3 linked regions of the Saccharomyces cerevisiae S288C genome follow. The main gene of each other region encodes a partner of the protein of the gene in region 2 in a complex. Each region holds a gene or a part of one and is shown on either strand. Other genes may lie near its edges.

Region 1 (5,432 bases), on a different chromosome or scaffold from region 2:
AATATAACAGAGTGCTTAGCGAATACTTTATTTTATGAGTCTTGCCGTTAGTGACCCCACCCAAAATAAGATGCAAACCGGTATACATATTAGACATTTCCCACGTATACAAATATATTAAGTAAATAAGCCTCGTCGTGATGAACTTAAATACATGGTATTGAGAGAGTTATAAACAGGTAGATAGATATCTTAAATAAAAATAAGCAGATAAGTAACAATGTTTAAGAAAACGATGGGGAAGCGTAAATATATGCAAAATTTCCCCCTCAGTCCTTACGTATACCGTATTTGGCACGAAGCTTCCACATTTCCAGTCTTGCCTGTTGCTGTAGGTTCAGGTTAGGATGGGACATTGGACTACTTTCACTATCACTTCTGATTATAGACCCGATGGACATAAATAGCCCAAAGGTACCCGCTGAACCAGCAATGTATTTCCCTAGTGTTCTAACTACACCATCAGGACCTGGGCCTTGAGTTGCGATGGCAAATCCACCAAATAGGATGCCTGTGCAGACACCGACGGTAGTACCCATCATCAACCCCATTTTGAATTTGTCCCAATTCGAAGGCTGCTGTTGCGCATAATTTTGTGGAAGAGGAGGCATTATATCTTAATATTGGACTTGAAGCTGTTGCGCTATTTGTGCTATATGATCTTGTGTGGTGTTCTGTGCTTCCTTCTTATGGAAAAGTAGTGGAGTCTGTTTGGTAATGTTGGTCTTGTTCGGGAGTTTTGAAAAGAAAATAAAAAGTGGTTGGCTCATAATGTTAAGAAAGAATTTCCAGTTTCCGATTGAACACAGCAATCTACAGGTAGACATTGTGAATCATGCTCGAATTACGAAGTTGTAGTAATTTGGTCAATAGTAGTAGGAGACTTGTGCCTCTGGTGACTTATTCCGGACTAAGTGCAATAACATTGCCTAAATCTCGATTTTATTCACAGCCTAGTGCTTTAGAAGTACAGGGCACATCGGATTCTCGAAGCGATAATATTTTAGACGAACTCAAACAAAGGGGTCTAGTGTCCCAGGTCTCACAGCCAGAGAGTTTCCTTCGGACGAAGTTGAACGGTAACGATAAGATCAAATTATACTGCGGGGTGGATCCCACAGCTCAGTCACTTCATTTGGGAAATCTAGTTCCACTAATGGTTTTATTACACTTTTACGTAAAAGGTCACGACATTGTCACTGTGATAGGTGGAGCTACAGGGAAAGTTGGGGACCCAAGTGGTAGGAAAACAGAAAGAGACGTTATGGAGAACGATATTAGGCAAAGCAATGTGGCATCCATCTCGCAGCAATTACAAAGGTTTTTCAAAAATGGCCTAGAATATTACAGAAACCGATGTGCTCTCACTGAAGATGTACCTTCCGGAAAATATACACCAAGGAATAATTTCAACTGGTGGAAAGACATCAAAATGTTGGATTTCTTAGCTGATTTTGGTAGGCACATTCGGGTACAATCTATGTTGGCGAGGGATTCAATTTCTTCGAGGCTTCAAACCAAAAATGGTCTGGGATTTAACGAATTTACTTACCAAGTTTTACAAGCGTACGATTTTTACCATTTGTATAAGGAAGAGAATGTGACTATACAAGTAGGTGGTAACGACCAATGGGGAAATATAACAGCCGGTATCGATCTCATCAATAGGATACAGCCTATAAAGAATAAGGGTTTGCCATTTGGTATCACTGTGCCCTTGTTGACGACGGCTACAGGAGAGAAATTTGGGAAAAGTGCAGGCAATGCTGTTTTTATTGACCCCTCAATCAATACGGCGTATGATGTTTACCAGTTCTTTTATAATACTTTGGATGCTGATGTACCCAAGTTCTTGAAGATCTTTACGTTTTTAAACTCAAGTGAAATCAAAAAAATTGTGGAAACGCATATCAAATCACCCAGTCTACGTTATGGCCAAACTTTATTGGCTAAAGAAGTCACAGATATGTTATATGGAGTTGGCTCCGGATCGGATTCAGAAGCGCTTTCTAATATTATTTTTGGACGTTATGACGGAACTTTATCTGCTGCGAAGTTAGTTGATCTATGTAAAAAAGCCAGAATTTTGCAGTATGCTGATAGAGAGATTGACTTAATAAAGTTAATTTGTAAACTAGTAAATTGTTCAGTATCAGAAGCCAGAAGAAAACTTTCCCAGGGAAGCGTGTATCTGCATCATTCAAAATCTAAAGTAAACGAAAATATTTCTAACTTGGCTCCTTTCCTGATAGATGATCGAGTACTGATCTTGAGGATAGGAAAGCAGAAGTGTTTTATAATAGAAATGCGTTAAAAAAAAGGGAGGTATATAAAGTACATGTATAAAATAGGCATGCGTGAGGTGATATTATATCATTTTATGCACTGACTTGTAAATAAGATTATAAACGATTATTCATCTTTACTACTTGCGAACATTTCACTGTCACACCAGGCTATGAGGGCCCACAGCCAGAGAGTCGCAGGGCATAGCAGTAATACACACCAGTAGTGCAGGAAAGAGTCATTGTTGCGTAACCAGTAAAATGTAGCAAGACTAATTAGGAGTACCGAGTAAGTAAACCCTAAAACCAAAAAGCCTTGGTCACGTGGTCTCATGCGCTTATAAATTCTCAATCATGTAATTGAAACAGTCCTGTTGCCTAGTTTCAACTGTTCTATGCTTCTTGATGTTTTCGAAACTTTGCGTAGTGTAATCTTCCTTGTATTGTAGCGAAGAAAAAAGGATGCGTTGGGAACAGATATAGAAGACGTAAAACAACCTGAAGAAGGTAACAGGTGGAGTAGCAATGGGAGAGGTATACGAAAAAAATAACATAGATTTTGATTCAATAGCCAAAATGTTGTTAATTAAGTATAAGGATTTCATACTGTCTAAATTCAAGAAAGCTGCACCTGTAGAGAATATAAGGTTTCAGAATTTAGTCCATACAAATCAATTCGCACAAGGAGTCCTAGGTCAGAGTCAACATCTCTGTACAGTCTATGACAATCCTTCATGGCATTCTATAGTCCTGGAGACATTGGATCTGGATCTAATATATAAAAATGTTGATAAGGAATTTGCCAAAGATGGGCATGCAGAGGGGGAAAATATATACACGGATTATCTAGTAAAGGAGCTGCTTCGCTACTTCAAACAAGATTTTTTCAAATGGTGCAATAAACCAGATTGTAATCATTGTGGCCAGAACACTTCAGAAAATATGACACCTCTGGGCAGTCAAGGGCCCAATGGAGAGGAATCTAAATTCAATTGCGGAACTGTTGAGATCTATAAATGCAACCGATGCGGAAATATCACTAGATTTCCTCGTTATAACGATCCAATTAAGTTGCTGGAAACTAGAAAGGGAAGATGCGGTGAATGGTGCAATTTATTTACTTTGATTTTGAAGTCGTTTGGGTTAGATGTTCGCTACGTCTGGAATAGAGAAGATCATGTTTGGTGTGAATATTTTTCAAATTTTTTGAATAGGTGGGTTCATGTCGACTCCTGTGAGCAATCATTCGACCAACCATATATCTATTCAATTAACTGGAACAAGAAAATGAGTTACTGTATTGCGTTCGGTAAAGATGGCGTTGTTGACGTTAGTAAACGCTATATCCTCCAAAACGAGCTGCCCAGAGATCAAATCAAGGAAGAAGATTTAAAATTCCTTTGTCAATTTATAACGAAGAGGTTGAGGTATTCGTTAAATGATGACGAGATATACCAACTTGCATGTCGCGATGAGCAGGAACAGATAGAGCTGATTAGAGGAAAGACACAAGAAACGAAATCCGAAAGCGTCAGTGCCGCTTCGAAATCATCTAATCGTGGTAGAGAAAGTGGATCGGCGGATTGGAAAGCACAGCGTGGGGAGGATGGTAAATAGAGAAATAAAAGAACAGATTATTATGTGTAAGGAATTTTATCTAAGAACATATTTATAAAACTAACTCATCAAAGCTGCCCAAGAACTCGGCAGCTTGCTTTGTTAACCAGGAATTACTTTCATTGTCGAGATAAGCCAAATGTCCACCCAAGTCAGTCTCGCATAACAACACACAAGGATTTTCTCTAGCTTGTTTGTACGGAATTACGTTTTCACCTGTAACTGGATCATCCGTTGCGTTGATTATTAAAGTTGGGATTTTGATATTAGGCAATCTATTTATCGAACTGGCCTTTCTATAATATGTTAACCCGTCCGGCAGGCCCATCGATGGGGCAGTGAAAAGATTATCGAATTCTAATATGTCTGTAAATTTTTCAGCCTTTTCCAAATTTTCTCTGGTATACGTATAAAAGACTGGTTTCTCAACTGTCGGTTTGTGCGAAACCTCAAAATTCTCTGGTACCTGCAACTCATTCATATTAACCTTGACAGTCCTTGTTAGAAATTGTGTTAAAGTTCTAGAAAAAATATGGTTGGACCACCAATCATGAGCCAACTTGTCCCAAGTGTGTACGAAATCCCATGGGTTTGAGAGAGCGACTGCAGCATTTAATGGACAGTTATCTCCTTCTTCACCTAAGTAGTTCGTTAGCATGGCTGCTCCAAATGATGTTCCGACTGCATATATTTTTCTTTGCGGAAATAGAGCTTTTTGGTGGTTCAAAAATTCTCTCACATCACCTGTGTGTAATGCGGTAAAGATTCTACGGGTGGTGACTTTAGATCTTGAGCAACCTCTAGCATTAAGGACTACCACTTGGAATTTACCGTCACCGACTTTTGATAGATCTTCAGATAATGCCCTGATGAGAGGCTCATGGCTTCCCCCTGCAAGACCATGAAGTACTACCACTAAAGGGTAAGAATAACCCTTAGAATGACATTTTTCAAGTTCCTCAGAGGATAGATATCTAGTTCTCGGGTGAAGACGAGGCCAACCCTTTGGATGGGTGGCCTTTTCATCGTTCGAAAATTGTTTCTCGTTAAAACTAGCCTTTTCAGCATTTAATGAATATGTTTGCTCCCATTCAGGCATAACCCAATCTGCAGTGCAGACCCCTCCATCAGAAAATTTTATAATCTCTCTTCCATAAAATACCTGAAATTTTTTGGAAAAATCACCGGCTGACAAATAAAGGGTCTGTAAGTAACCTGTGAAAAGCAAGCTGTTTAACCTAAAATTTGCACCATCTTTGAGTGTAGGCACGTGTTTGGTTACGAATTCATGAAGAGGAATTTGGCGCTTAGAATCTCTGAAAGCCAAAGACTTGGTTCCTTTCTCTCCCAGTACATGTTTGACGGTGCCGTTATAGCCCCAATGGCTAGGAGTGACAGTTGGATAGTAACCCGAGCGAAACATTAAAATGACAAATATGAAAATACTTGATATCTTGATCTTTTTGCTAATCTTCAAAAATACCGAAAACTAAGTAGGCAACCAGATGCAGAACCCTTCTTATATAATCG
Region 2 (5,679 bases):
AATTTTGTGACTCTTCATGGTACATGGTGTCAATATCGTCTAAGTACTTGTACAGATGAGAACAGTTAACTTTTGGTAAGGCTTCCCTTTGGTTAGTTAAACATGTCTTTATACCACCACAATCAGTGTGGCCACAAATAATAACTTTGTTAACTTTTAGACAAATAATGGCAAACTCTAAAGTGGCCTTCAAAGTTAAATCCTCTGAGTGACATATGTTAGCAACATTTTTCCAAGTGAACACTTCGCCGGGCAAGACACCTAAACAGTTTTCGTTGTAACGCGAATCGGAGCAGCCGATGAAAAGAGTGTGAGGGGACTGGCCCTTCGCATTGTGATCTGGGAACAAAGTTGGCTGTATGTTGTTCATCTGGGAGGCCCATTTGGCATTGGCGGCCAAGATATCTTGTAGGTTTGAGTTGTGACTCAATGTGAATATAGATGAAGATTCGGTAGCGCTCATTCTGATGTGTAATAATTGAAATTTGTAGTCTTAGCTGTAGTTGATGTGGTTGGGGTTTTCAGAAGAAAACGAACAAGAATTAGAAGAGGACAGCTCTTACCTATCCTCGAGAATCATTACTTCCTAAGTATTTATAGTACTCTATGTCAGCCTACTTGTTCATTTCAAAATTACTCATCGAGAGAGGGGGAGGAAGGAATCACTAGTAATTTTTTCGGCTTGATAAGCGTCATGGTGACAATGCGAATTAATTCAGTGGCGTCAAGTTAGCTCATTCTGACGTCAACATCGAAACGGGAACGAACGTTCGTGCGGGGTGATGGTTAGAAAGCACGTGACTTACGTTACTATCACGTGATAACAATCACACTGTACGGCTGATCAAATTTTTTTCGGCGCCGAGTTTAGGTGAATCACGTGTGCCTGACCACCTTCTCCGAGCATCGGGCGTCATAGGTCACTCATCAACCAACCATATTGCAGAAACCTTCTTTTATTTTTTTTGGTAGCTCGGTATTGTTATTTAGCGATTAAAGGAAGACCCTCATATATATATCCCCGTACAATACATGCCTACACTGAATATATATATAAGTGTTTTATGTGGGTGAGCACATAGGACTATCTATATTTTCCATAGGTCTTTTTTCTTGTTTTCTTCCGCTTCATTGGCTTATTCTTGATTGATTGATTTCTTTACTCTACCGTAGATCTATTTCAACAGTACCTTAATATTACTGGTAACAATCAAGGTTCATTATTCTCCCTATCCTCATTCTTCTCCCTTTTCCTCCATAATTGTAAGAGAAAAATGCTTAACAGAACAATTGCTAAGAGAACTTTAGCCACTGCCGCTCAGGCGGAACGCACCCTACCCAAGAAGTATGGCGGTCGTTTCACCGTCACTTTGATACCTGGTGACGGTGTTGGGAAAGAAATCACTGATTCAGTGAGAACCATTTTTGAGGCTGAAAATATCCCGATCGACTGGGAAACTATAAACATTAAGCAAACAGATCATAAGGAAGGCGTCTATGAAGCTGTTGAGTCTCTAAAGAGAAATAAGATTGGTCTTAAGGGGCTATGGCACACTCCTGCTGACCAAACAGGTCACGGTTCACTAAACGTTGCTTTGCGTAAACAACTAGATATCTACGCCAATGTGGCCCTTTTCAAATCCTTGAAGGGTGTCAAGACTAGAATTCCAGACATAGATTTGATTGTCATTAGAGAAAACACGGAGGGTGAGTTCTCAGGCCTGGAACATGAATCCGTCCCTGGTGTAGTGGAATCTTTGAAAGTTATGACTAGACCTAAGACAGAAAGGATCGCCAGATTTGCCTTTGACTTCGCCAAGAAATACAACAGAAAGTCTGTCACAGCTGTGCATAAGGCAAATATCATGAAGTTAGGTGACGGTCTGTTCAGAAATATAATAACTGAAATTGGCCAAAAAGAATATCCTGATATTGACGTATCGTCCATCATTGTCGACAATGCCTCCATGCAGGCGGTGGCCAAACCTCATCAATTTGATGTCCTAGTTACCCCTTCAATGTACGGTACCATCTTAGGCAACATTGGCGCTGCTTTGATCGGTGGTCCAGGATTGGTGGCAGGTGCCAACTTTGGCAGGGACTATGCTGTCTTCGAACCAGGTTCCAGACATGTTGGTTTAGATATTAAAGGCCAAAATGTGGCTAACCCAACTGCCATGATCCTTTCCTCCACGTTAATGTTGAACCATTTGGGTTTGAATGAATATGCTACTAGAATCTCAAAGGCAGTTCATGAAACGATCGCAGAAGGTAAGCATACCACTAGAGATATTGGTGGTTCCTCTTCTACTACTGACTTCACGAATGAAATCATCAACAAATTATCTACCATGTAATGAAAACAATTCCCCTTTTTTTTGTTCTGCAACTTAAGTGTGTTCAAATTCTTATCTATAATTATATATAAACATACACTAAAATATAAGTATATACCAAAATGTCTCAAGATTTTCTGTAATGATAATTTGATGTTCAATCTTTTGGTCTGCTCAGGGGTTTTTCTTGCTTACTGAGATATTTTCTAGATATGTTGTATATTAGACGTTGGTCATCGATACTGGGCAAATTTGACTGCATTGTTGTGTTAGTATTTCTAATCAGATCGTTGAAGTAAGAAACAATCTTAAATTCGCTTGAATACATACTGGAAATAATAGCTTAAGCGTAGACGATTTACGTACAATTGCTGCAAGATAGAATATCACTCGAAATCCCCGACAGAATCCTTCATTGATCACTACATCAATAATTCTTTCATTGGATATAAACTCTACTTGTTCAAAGAACTTCCGATTCCATTGTTGAGGAAATATAACCATACCCTTCACTCTGGACAGCTGTAGTCCACTTTCTTTGAAAATTGTTACAGTTTCCACACTAGGTCCCCTCACAAGTATAATTGTACCTAAGGCAAACAATCCCATTATAATTAAGATCTGGAAACTTCGCGCGATTGTCACTTCAAAAGTTCTATTAATATGTTCGAGAAATCTTGATCTTAGGCAAATTACATAGAACAAAATATTCAGTAGTAAAATAAGTACAATTTGGTGATATTGTATGCCCATGTTAATCTCTACCCTCCCATTTTGCTTGACTTTTTTGAACTTTCGGTTAGATACAGGTAAAACGGTAAATCTTATAAAATTGCCATTCTTGTCTTCATCGATAACTAATGTATACTTCTTTCTATTCAGTATACTAGTCTTACCAAATTCATACTCTTTACTAATCATATCATCCTTTTGTTTCTTTTGCTTATAGAACGATCCTCATATGTAACTTTCATAATACTGTTTTCGTTGCCAATTTTTTCTTCCGAACATCGCTTCATTTATTGATGCCGCGGTACACCTGAAGAAAATGATATAATACAACAAAAAGTTGTGCTATTTATCCATTATGTATGCATATAAATGTCTCTTATTGATCAATCTCAGGCTCTTCTTCACTTCCTTCATTATCCTCATTGTCATCATTATTCCTTTCTTTGAGTTTCTTCCTTTTCAAGTCATCAATTGTACCCAGAACAACTTCCGTTTTTCTATAAACTTTCAAATCATTTGTCATAATACCACCAGATCCCTTTTTATTCAAATTAGCATCATTTAGCCTTTGTGCAGTTTGGTCTTCCTCCTTTGCCGTATTCTTTGCTTCTTCGATTTCCTTCATATGATGTTTGTGCTCGTTTTGTAATTCGATTAGTTTCTCGTTGAAGTCTGCTACTGTACCAATGTTCTTCTTGATTTCGCAGCAATACTCATCAAAATTAGGCGGTAGCTTAGATCGAAGGGCCAATTCAATCAATATTGGACGTTTCTTCTCCTCATTAACGAATTTGGCCTTCACTTGTTTTCTTGATCTATAAGGGTATAATTGTGAGATCAAATTGAAATCTGTCCCCCACATAGAAAGCGCCTTGTAGAACTTTATCATTTCTTCCACAGTCCACGGGTCTGTGTATGAACCCCTACCATACGACCCGTAATTATAAAGATTGGCAAAAGGGTTTTCATCAACTTTTTCTTTATATTCATTTTCGATACTAGCATTTTTGTGTCTGTCAACAACCATAGTCTCTTCATCAATTGCCATAGTACCATCAGGGTTAAGCTTCAGTTGGATCGCCGTATGTGCTTTGCGGTCTGACTCAGGAATGTCAGCGTTGAGTAGTTTATCTCTTTCTTCCTTTCTCTTCTCCTCTTCTTCTTCCTGTTCTTCTTTAGTCAATGAGTGTAGTGGTTTAAATTCTTGTCGTGCGCGCATTCTGAGTTCTCTAAGATGCCTTCTCTTTTCCAATTTTGCCTTTTTTGCCATTTTAGATTTTTCAAAGTTTTCAGATATTTGACCAATAGGAAAGTTTGGCTTACACAACTCTGCCATCGTAAAATTCTCTTCATCGATAAAATATTTAGCAGACTCCCCATCTCTCACTTTTTTCGGGATATCTTTGACTTTGCTAATCACATAATTTTCATTCTCATCAGCTTCTCTTGATGTAGAAGTTTCTGACGAAAATTCATTCCTGTCCAAAGAATCGGTCATTGCCGTAGGTGGAGAAATTTTGGAGACAATACTGATTCTGTGTGCACCTGCTGGTTTCTTAGCCGAAGAAGGTTTGCCCAAAACCCTATGTCTTTTGAAAGTTTTCAGATTCATATCGTTTTCTGTAATGCTTCCAAGCCTTATCTTTTTAGGAAGCTTATTGGAGATTGTAGATAAACGTCGCGCAGTCCCATTACTGTTACTGGAAGAATCGAGAAATGACGGTTTAAAACTTGGACGACTTTCGTTGTCCTTACTCAGTGAAGCTAATCTGCTGGATCTCGGTACCTTCTGGTCTCGGTGGGTTTGCAAGGGTGCCGGTTTTAGAGTCACATTATCTTCTATAACGTCTGCTTTGGGGTTCTGGGTCGAGGCGTCAATGGGGCCCTCATCACCTATTTCATTATCATGTCCATTAGTGCCGGTTAAGGTAAAGCCTTCTAAAGAGCGTTCTCCAACTAGCGAAGGTTTCTCAACAATAGCCGTTTCATTTTCATCAACACCTTTATCGTTATCACTATTATCTTCTTCTATTTCTTTACTTTCGGGAATGAAAAGTTGAGGGGTTCTTGGCTTTGGAGTTGGTGTTCCTCCAGTGGCGGCTCTACGCTGCCTTACTTTAGGGGCAAAGCGTGTACCACTTTTATTAACAATACTACTCATAAATACCTGGTAATCAGTGGCTCCTTGCCGGTTGTTTGTATTTCTTTAATAGGTTAGAAGTCAAAGTTATAATTTCCTTCGCTTTGCGTTTGCATGTTCGAAGTTGTTTTTTTTTAATTTTTTTTTTTGGGTATAATAAGTAATGGAAAACGCGTCTTCTGGGAACATTAAAGTTGCCTATTATAAACTACATAAAAGAAAAGAATAGACCATGCTTATTGACTTCCTGAGACTTGATCACGATAAATACCTACCATTATGTATACAACAAATCTGCGTATACAAATGGCACATTTCTCAACATGATGCGAAATCATGGCTTAAATAATCAGAGAGGGCGGCAAACTCGGCATTCGAAATGGATGTAATTTTACCTTGCCACTTGCCACCTTTCTTACCACCACCGCCTTTTAGGTTTTGTAGTATCGAACCTAAGTTAGCAGCCAAATT
Region 3 (7,063 bases), on a different chromosome or scaffold from region 2:
AGGCCCAGAGATTCTCCAGGCAGGAAGGAATTGGGACAGATCCTGCCTGGAGGGATGGAGGAATTTACTTCGTAGGCTGGAACAGGCTCATCTCAGCCAACGATTGTAAATGTGCAGGGCCATCGTTACAATCCTGCGCACCCTACCATGGATACCAGAATCCCGTCGTGTTCCCAATTGTGAGTAGTACAGTGGCCTGCTGCCGGGCAGATAGTAGCAGGGCAGGACACTTGCCAGATCCCGTAGCAAGGATGCTTATAATATATCGAAATGTAGCATTGTTAGTTTACTTCGTAAACTGCCCTTGTAGAGTGAGGTATAGCTTAGAAAATAGCAAACTAAATAGAGAGCGAAATGTCCTTACCAGCTACTTTTGACTTGACTCCAGAAGATGCCCAACTTTTGTTGGCTGCTAACACTCACTTAGGTGCTAGAAACGTTCAAGTATGTTATACTCATTCCCGATTATATAATAGAGTAATGTGTGATTGAAAACAGTTCGAGTGAAAGAATAGCCACAACCAGGTTTCCCGCCAACCAAACGGAATGCTGGGATAGCATTTTTCAGGCTGAATAAGAAGAGAAATATATGAACAATCATTAAAACAGTTTGAAACTCCAGCTAATTATCAGCGAATATTTTGCCAATAGACTTTCTAATTGTATTATGTTATTAAATTTTAAATCGCTAATGAAAAAAAAAAACAAACCTTTGGTATTAAACCTCTTTCAATGAAATCAATTAATTCCGGTACCTATTCTTCCGACGCTGTTAGCCAACTATAAATGCCATTTTTTCATAGTACATTAATTTGAATCAGTTGATCATTCACAGCATATACCAAGTGTACGTTTTTGAATCTTTTATACTAACTTTTTCTTCTTTAATTTTGTTTCAGGTTCACCAAGAACCATATGTTTTCAACGCAAGACCAGATGGTGTCCACGTTATCAACGTTGGTAAGACCTGGGAAAAATTGGTTTTGGCTGCCAGAATCATCGCTGCCATTCCAAACCCAGAAGACGTTGTTGCCATCTCTTCCAGAACTTTCGGTCAAAGGGCTGTTTTGAAGTTCGCTGCCCACACCGGTGCTACCCCAATCGCCGGTAGATTCACTCCAGGTTCTTTCACCAATTATATCACCCGTTCTTTCAAGGAACCAAGATTAGTTATTGTCACCGACCCAAGATCAGATGCTCAAGCCATCAAGGAAGCTTCTTACGTTAACATCCCTGTCATTGCTCTAACTGATCTTGACTCTCCATCAGAATTCGTCGATGTCGCTATCCCATGTAACAACAGAGGTAAGCACTCCATTGGTTTAATCTGGTACTTATTGGCTAGAGAAGTTTTGAGACTAAGAGGTGCTTTAGTTGACAGAACTCAACCATGGTCCATCATGCCAGATTTGTACTTCTACAGAGACCCTGAAGAAGTTGAACAACAAGTTGCTGAAGAAGCTACCACCGAAGAAGCTGGTGAAGAAGAAGCCAAGGAAGAGGTTACCGAAGAGCAAGCTGAAGCTACTGAATGGGCTGAAGAAAATGCTGACAACGTCGAGTGGTAAGTAAGGTGATATTTACAAATAGTATATTAATAATTATAGTATAATGTTTTATTAGAATAACAGATTTCTTTATCAATTTAGCGGCTAAATAAAAATCAAGAAAAAAGAAATACATTCATTGTGTCATCTTGTCACACATTTAGCCATGTACTTTATTTGCTGAGAAGTTTAATCAATTGAGAGTAGTTAGCTATTGTAGTAAAAATGTGCAAATGAAGTCTTATCAACACGTAGCGTATATAGTGATCTAAAACAGTTAGAAATATAATAAGCGAACTTCTAAACCATTTTAGAGCACATAGCCATGGAGAATAGGTACTTGTTTTGACCCGCTCGACGAAGTGGTACGTAGTGATTGCGTGGATTAGTTTATCATAAGACTTTCAATGAACGTACCAAAGGCGAGACTCCTAAAAGTAGCAGAGTTATCTGCGAAGATATTTGATCAAAATTTCAACCCATCAGGTATAAGAACCGGTTCTAAGATTCTAAATGAGCGATTAAAGGGCCCTTCTGTGGCAAGCTACTACGGCAATCCGGATATCCTGAAGTTCAGACATTTGAAAACATTATATCCTGATATTGAATTTGTAGACCTTGAGGAGCAATATCGATTATCTATGGTAGAAGCAAAGAAACGTCGTGGTAAAGGTGCTCCTAAGAAGATGAAGAAGGATGCAGCTGCAACTGCAAAGGGGAAGGGGAAGAAAAAAAAATGATTGGAGCACCCTTACTAAAAAAAATATTCATTATGTAGAAACTCATTTCATGTACATACAAAATCAAAAATAAAACAACAAATAGCTGAAGCAAGAAAACGCTACTTTACTTATAAAAGAAAACGTTATGCCTGAATAGTCAGCCTTTTGTATAAATCCTTTACACTCAATGGCTTACTAGGCAGTGAAGAATAAAGAACATAGTACAGCTTATTTCTATTGACCATTATAGACTCCCCTCGGACAATCTTTCGTACAGTAGCAAACGAGAAATAATTTGTCCTCATTTGCGACAACAATAGATTGTATGGTCTGAACATACTCTTGAATTTAATAGGATTGTTTTGAAGTTCTAAGGTTGTATGCTTGTTAGAAACCGTGGTTTTGAGCTCAATTGAAATGCCACCGGGTAGACGTTTAGGATCTTTTAACCTAAGTAATAATGCGAACAATGGAAAATGGTTAATGAGTGCAATGACAGCTTCCGAGAATATTTCGATAGTTATTGTTAGCATTCTCAAAACTGTGTATGACATATAGAATGCCATCACTGTGGGAGTCAAGAACACTAGAATAATAAATAATAATGTTCCCAATAGCAATTGATCTAGTTGAAAATAGTTATGGTCAATCCTATTTCGTAAAACGTTCCTCTTTTTACCGCAGAACAGGTTAAAAAGACTAGCCATAATATTCAACTGACAATGGTACAGTTTACTGCTGATACGATAAAAAACATATATTGGAAAACTTAAAATTGCAAAAAAATCAATCGCTAGGGAAACAGCAAAAGAAAAGCCAACGAGAAACATCATATATATCGTTAACGTGAGCAAAGATGATAGGGTTTTCGGATCAATGAGTCTTTTTATGAATGTGGTATAAGAAAATTCTATCACCCAAAGAAATAATTCGCTCAAAAAGTTCGCAAGTTCTGCATTTAATTTGATGCCAAGGGGGTTATTTGCTAACGTTTCAGTTATTGTTTTTAATGAATCATATAAAAAAAACTTCAATACTCTATGGGATGCCGACACCAAGAAATCTCGATTCTCAATAAGTATGGCCCCCAATATTAAACCAAATGAAATGTCATTAATAATAAGCCAAATTGTATTATACAATAAAATATAATCGGGATAGAATTTAGAAGGCATATATGAATGTGAGAATTGACTATTAGAATTATCTTTTTCCACCATAGAGCCAACATTCTGTATGTTATCCTTCTTATTAATACGCTCATACTGTACTGGGAAATAGCAAATTTGTTGACAACGAAGATCGATTTGCTGGACAAATGCCGAGTAATTTACCAACTGAAAGTGCGAATAATTTAATAACGAGGATACGAGACTAGCAATAGAGCAGATCACAAAAGTCAAATAAAAACCAATTTTTGCGACCATTTTATAAATACAAGTAGATGAACACCAAGCTGCGACACTATTAAGCATAGTACCCCTCAAATTTTCCTGTGATGTTTGAATAAACGGGTAAAGCTCATTTAATGCTTTACAATATGCGGGGAATAGATTAATGATGTTCAAAGTTTCACTCAATTTCTTATTATCTCTCTTGTATCTTGGATGTTGCTCTAATTTAGAATAGTTCAGAGTTTCACCCACACTACTATGAAGACCAACTTCTTTTTCTGGTATGATGAGCGAGATGGGATCAGAAGAATAGAATTGCATAAATTTCAGCTTGGGTATTCTAAAATGGACATTACAGGGATCAGCAACTTTGTAGTTCCAACCCTCCGCTCCATTGTTCTTAGTAGCTACCACTGAATAAGGGGGCCGTATGCTTACTTCTTCTAAATACTGAGGTTCGCAAACACCTAAGACAACAAAATGCGTCTTCTCAAATGAAATTGCCAAAGCTACCTGAGGTCCTTGAGCTGCGGAATTCTCGAACAAGGATTCGTATGGCCAGAAAATGTAATTTGGCATGTCATTTAACTGTATAAAACCGCCCCTGAATTCGAAGGTTCCTGTTCACAGAGGAATTTTCATTCTTTTTGGTATTATGTTCTGGTAGGTTTTTTTCATATTCTACATTTCGGCATTCTCACTGAAAATAAATATAGATGAGATAGAAGATCATGAATCAATGGTTGGTGACAAGCTAACATAAGGAAAATCAAAATACACGGCATTACTAAATAGAATATATTGTTAGTACTATGCAGGGGAGAAAAAGGACGCTTACGGAACCATTTGAGCCAAATACCAATCCATTTGGGGACAATGCAGCAGTAATGACGGAAAATGTTGAGGATAACAGCGAAACAGATGGTAACCGTCTAGAATCAAAACCACAAGCTTTGGTCCCACCAGCTTTAAATATCGTGCCACCAGAGAGCAGCATCCACAGTACTGAAGAAAAAAAAGGTGACGAGTACAATGGAAATGATAAAGATAGCTCCTTAATCTCCAACATATTTCGTACTCGTGTCGGAAGGAGTAGTCATGAAAACTTGAGCAGGCCTAAACTCTCACTTAAAACAGCATCATTTGGTGCCGCTGAATCTTCCCGGCGTAATGTTTCACCCTCTACAAAATCTGCCAAGTCTAGTTCGCAGTATATTGATTTAAATGATGAAAGGCTACGCAGGCGTAGCTTCAGTAGTTATAGCCGATCATCTAGTAGGCGTGTTTCTAATTCACCAAGCTCAACGGATAGGCCTCCACGGTCGGCAAAGGTTTTATCGCTAATTGCCGCTGATGATATGGATGATTTTGAAGATTTGCAAAAGGGATTTAAAAGTGCAATAGACGAAGAGGGCCTGACATGGCTACCCCAATTAAAATCAGAAAAAAGCCGTCCTGTATCAGACGTTGGAGAAGATAGAGGAGAAGGAGAACAAGAATCTATACCTGACGTTCATACACCCAATGTAGGAGCAAGCGCTACTCCAGGATCAATTCATCTAACACCCGAACCCGCGCAGAATGGTTCGGTATCTGAGGGTCTAGAAGGCTCTATTAATAATTCAAGAAAGAAACCCAGTCCAAAGTTTTTTCATCATTTATCACCGCAAAAAGAAGATAAAGACCAAACAGAAGTTATTGAGTATGCTGAAGACATTCTAGATTTTGAAACCCTTCAAAGAAAACTGGAATCAAGGCCCTTTGTGCTTTATGGACATTCTCTTGGGGTTTTCTCGCCTACGAATCCGCTAAGAATAAAAATTGCTCGTTTTTTGTTGCATAGGCGGTATTCGTTACTTTACAACACTTTGTTAACATTTTATGCCATTCTCCTGGCGATAAGGACATATAACCCTCACAATGTGGTTTTTTTATACCGTTTCTCTAACTGGACCGACTATTTCATTTTTATTTTATCAGCTTGCTTTACAGGCAATGATATTGCTAAAATAATTGCGTTTGGATTTTGGGACGATTCTGAAATGTTTAAAGCCTATGGACGTGAGTATAAATCAATCTTACAGAGATCTGGAATTATGAAACTATACATATATCTGAGAGAAAAGTATGGTAGAAAGCTAATAGATTTCATTATTCCATTTAGGATCATATCGCCGGGAGAAGAGACAAAATATCAACGAAGTTCGTTGAGTACTTCCCTGACGAAACCTTATGGGGCAAAGGAAAATCAGAGGCCTTTTGGCACCCCAAGAGCCTTTGCGAGATCATCGTGGAATAGAATAGATCTGGTATCTTCTGTCAGTTTTTGGCTAGGTATGTTTTTATCCATAAAAAGTTATGATACAAAAACAGGCATAAGAATATTCAAGCCCCTTGCTATATTAAGGATTCTTCGACTTGTAAACGTGGATACTGGTATGCCCTCAATTCTAAGGGGATTGAAATATGGTATCCCACAGTTGGTAAATGTTAGTTCAATGCTAGTTTACTTTTGGATTTTCTTTGGGATTTTGGGAGTACAGATTTTTCAGGGCTCTTTTCGAAGACAATGTGTATGGTTTAACCCTGAAGATCCTACCGATACTTACCAGTACGATATGCAATTCTGTGGTGGTTACCTAGATCCAGTAACAAAACGAAAACAAAATTATATCTATGAAGACGGATCAGAAGGTTCTGTTTCAAAAGGCTTTCTTTGCCCACAATATTCGAAATGTGTTTCCAATGCCAACCCCTACAACGGCAGAATTAGTTTTGATAATATTGTTAATTCCATGGAGCTCGTTTTTGTCATTATGAGTGCGAATACTTTTACTGACTTAATGTACTATACGATGGATTCGGATGAAATGGCTGCCTGTTTGTTTTTTATTGTTTGCATCTTTGTTTTAACTATCTGGCTGCTAAATCTACTCATTGCAGTGTTGGTATCATCTTTTGAAATAGCCAATGAGGAGTACAAAAAGAAAAAGTTCATATATGGTTCTAGAAAGACAGGTTATGTTGCTCGCATAGTAACAGGCTACTGGAAATATTTTAAGCTTAAGGCGAATCAGACAAAATTCCCAAATTGGTCCCAAAAAGGACTAGCTATTTATTCCCACGTTGAGTTTATCTTTGTCATACTTATTATTTGCGATATAGGTATGCGCGCCTCTGTTAAAGTATCGACTTCGGCAAACTGTAACAATATCCTTCTAAAAACTGACAGGGGAATTTCGATTGTTCTCTTCATCGAATCACTGGCAAGGTTAGTATTATATCTGCCCAATATGTGGAAGTTTTTAACAAAACCTAGTTACGTTTACGATTTTATTATATCAATTATTACTCTGGTTATTAGTTGCCTGGCTGTTGAAGGGGTTCTAGGACATATGTA

What was found. The genes of interacting proteins can lie anywhere in the genome.
Region 1: GPI15 (region 2) and ERI1 share a complex: the UniProt entries of both Saccharomyces cerevisiae proteins name them as parts of the phosphatidylinositol N-acetylglucosaminyltransferase (GPI-GlcNAc transferase) complex.
Region 3: GPI15 (region 2) and GPI1 share a complex: the UniProt entries of both Saccharomyces cerevisiae proteins name them as parts of the phosphatidylinositol N-acetylglucosaminyltransferase (GPI-GlcNAc transferase) complex.

The regions. Positions count from the first base shown.
Region 1 is NC_001148.4:364,117-369,548, forward strand, and holds ERI1 (Eri1p), read right to left. Parts: upstream 2,620-5,432; coding exon 2,413-2,619; downstream 1-2,412. Other genes in the region: MGR2 (Mgr2p), read right to left, coding at 270-611; tyrosine--tRNA ligase MSY1, read left to right, coding at 836-2,314; PNG1 (peptide-N4-(N-acetyl-beta-glucosaminyl)asparagine amidase), read left to right, coding at 2,811-3,902; EEB1 (medium-chain fatty acid ethyl ester synthase/esterase), read right to left, coding at 3,955-5,325. UniProt on the Saccharomyces cerevisiae protein: Probable component of the GPI-GlcNAc transferase (GPI-GnT) complex in the endoplasmic reticulum, a complex that catalyzes transfer of GlcNAc from UDP-GlcNAc to an acceptor phosphatidylinositol, the first step in the production of GPI-anchors for cell surface proteins.
Region 2 is NC_001146.8:554,598-560,276, reverse strand, and holds GPI15 (phosphatidylinositol N-acetylglucosaminyltransferase GPI15), read right to left. Parts: upstream 3,258-5,679; coding exon 2,667-3,257; intron 2,593-2,666; coding exon 2,494-2,592; downstream 1-2,493. Other genes in the region: carbonate dehydratase NCE103, read right to left, coding at 1-463; isocitrate dehydrogenase (NAD(+)) IDH1, read left to right, coding at 1,275-2,357; transcription factor TFIIIB subunit BDP1, read right to left, coding at 3,445-5,229; YNL040W (putative alanine--tRNA ligase), read right to left, coding at 5,527-5,679. UniProt on the Saccharomyces cerevisiae protein: Part of the complex catalyzing the transfer of N-acetylglucosamine from UDP-N-acetylglucosamine to phosphatidylinositol, the first step of GPI biosynthesis.
Region 3 is NC_001139.9:920,221-927,283, forward strand, and holds GPI1 (phosphatidylinositol N-acetylglucosaminyltransferase), read right to left. Parts: upstream 4,243-7,063; coding exon 2,413-4,242; downstream 1-2,412. Other genes in the region: 40S ribosomal protein uS2 RPS0A, read left to right, coding at 355-444, 900-1,568; mitochondrial 37S ribosomal protein mS33 RSM27, read left to right, coding at 1,955-2,287; calcium channel protein CCH1, read left to right, coding at 4,476-7,063. UniProt on the Saccharomyces cerevisiae protein: Part of the complex catalyzing the transfer of N-acetylglucosamine from UDP-N-acetylglucosamine to phosphatidylinositol, the first step of GPI biosynthesis.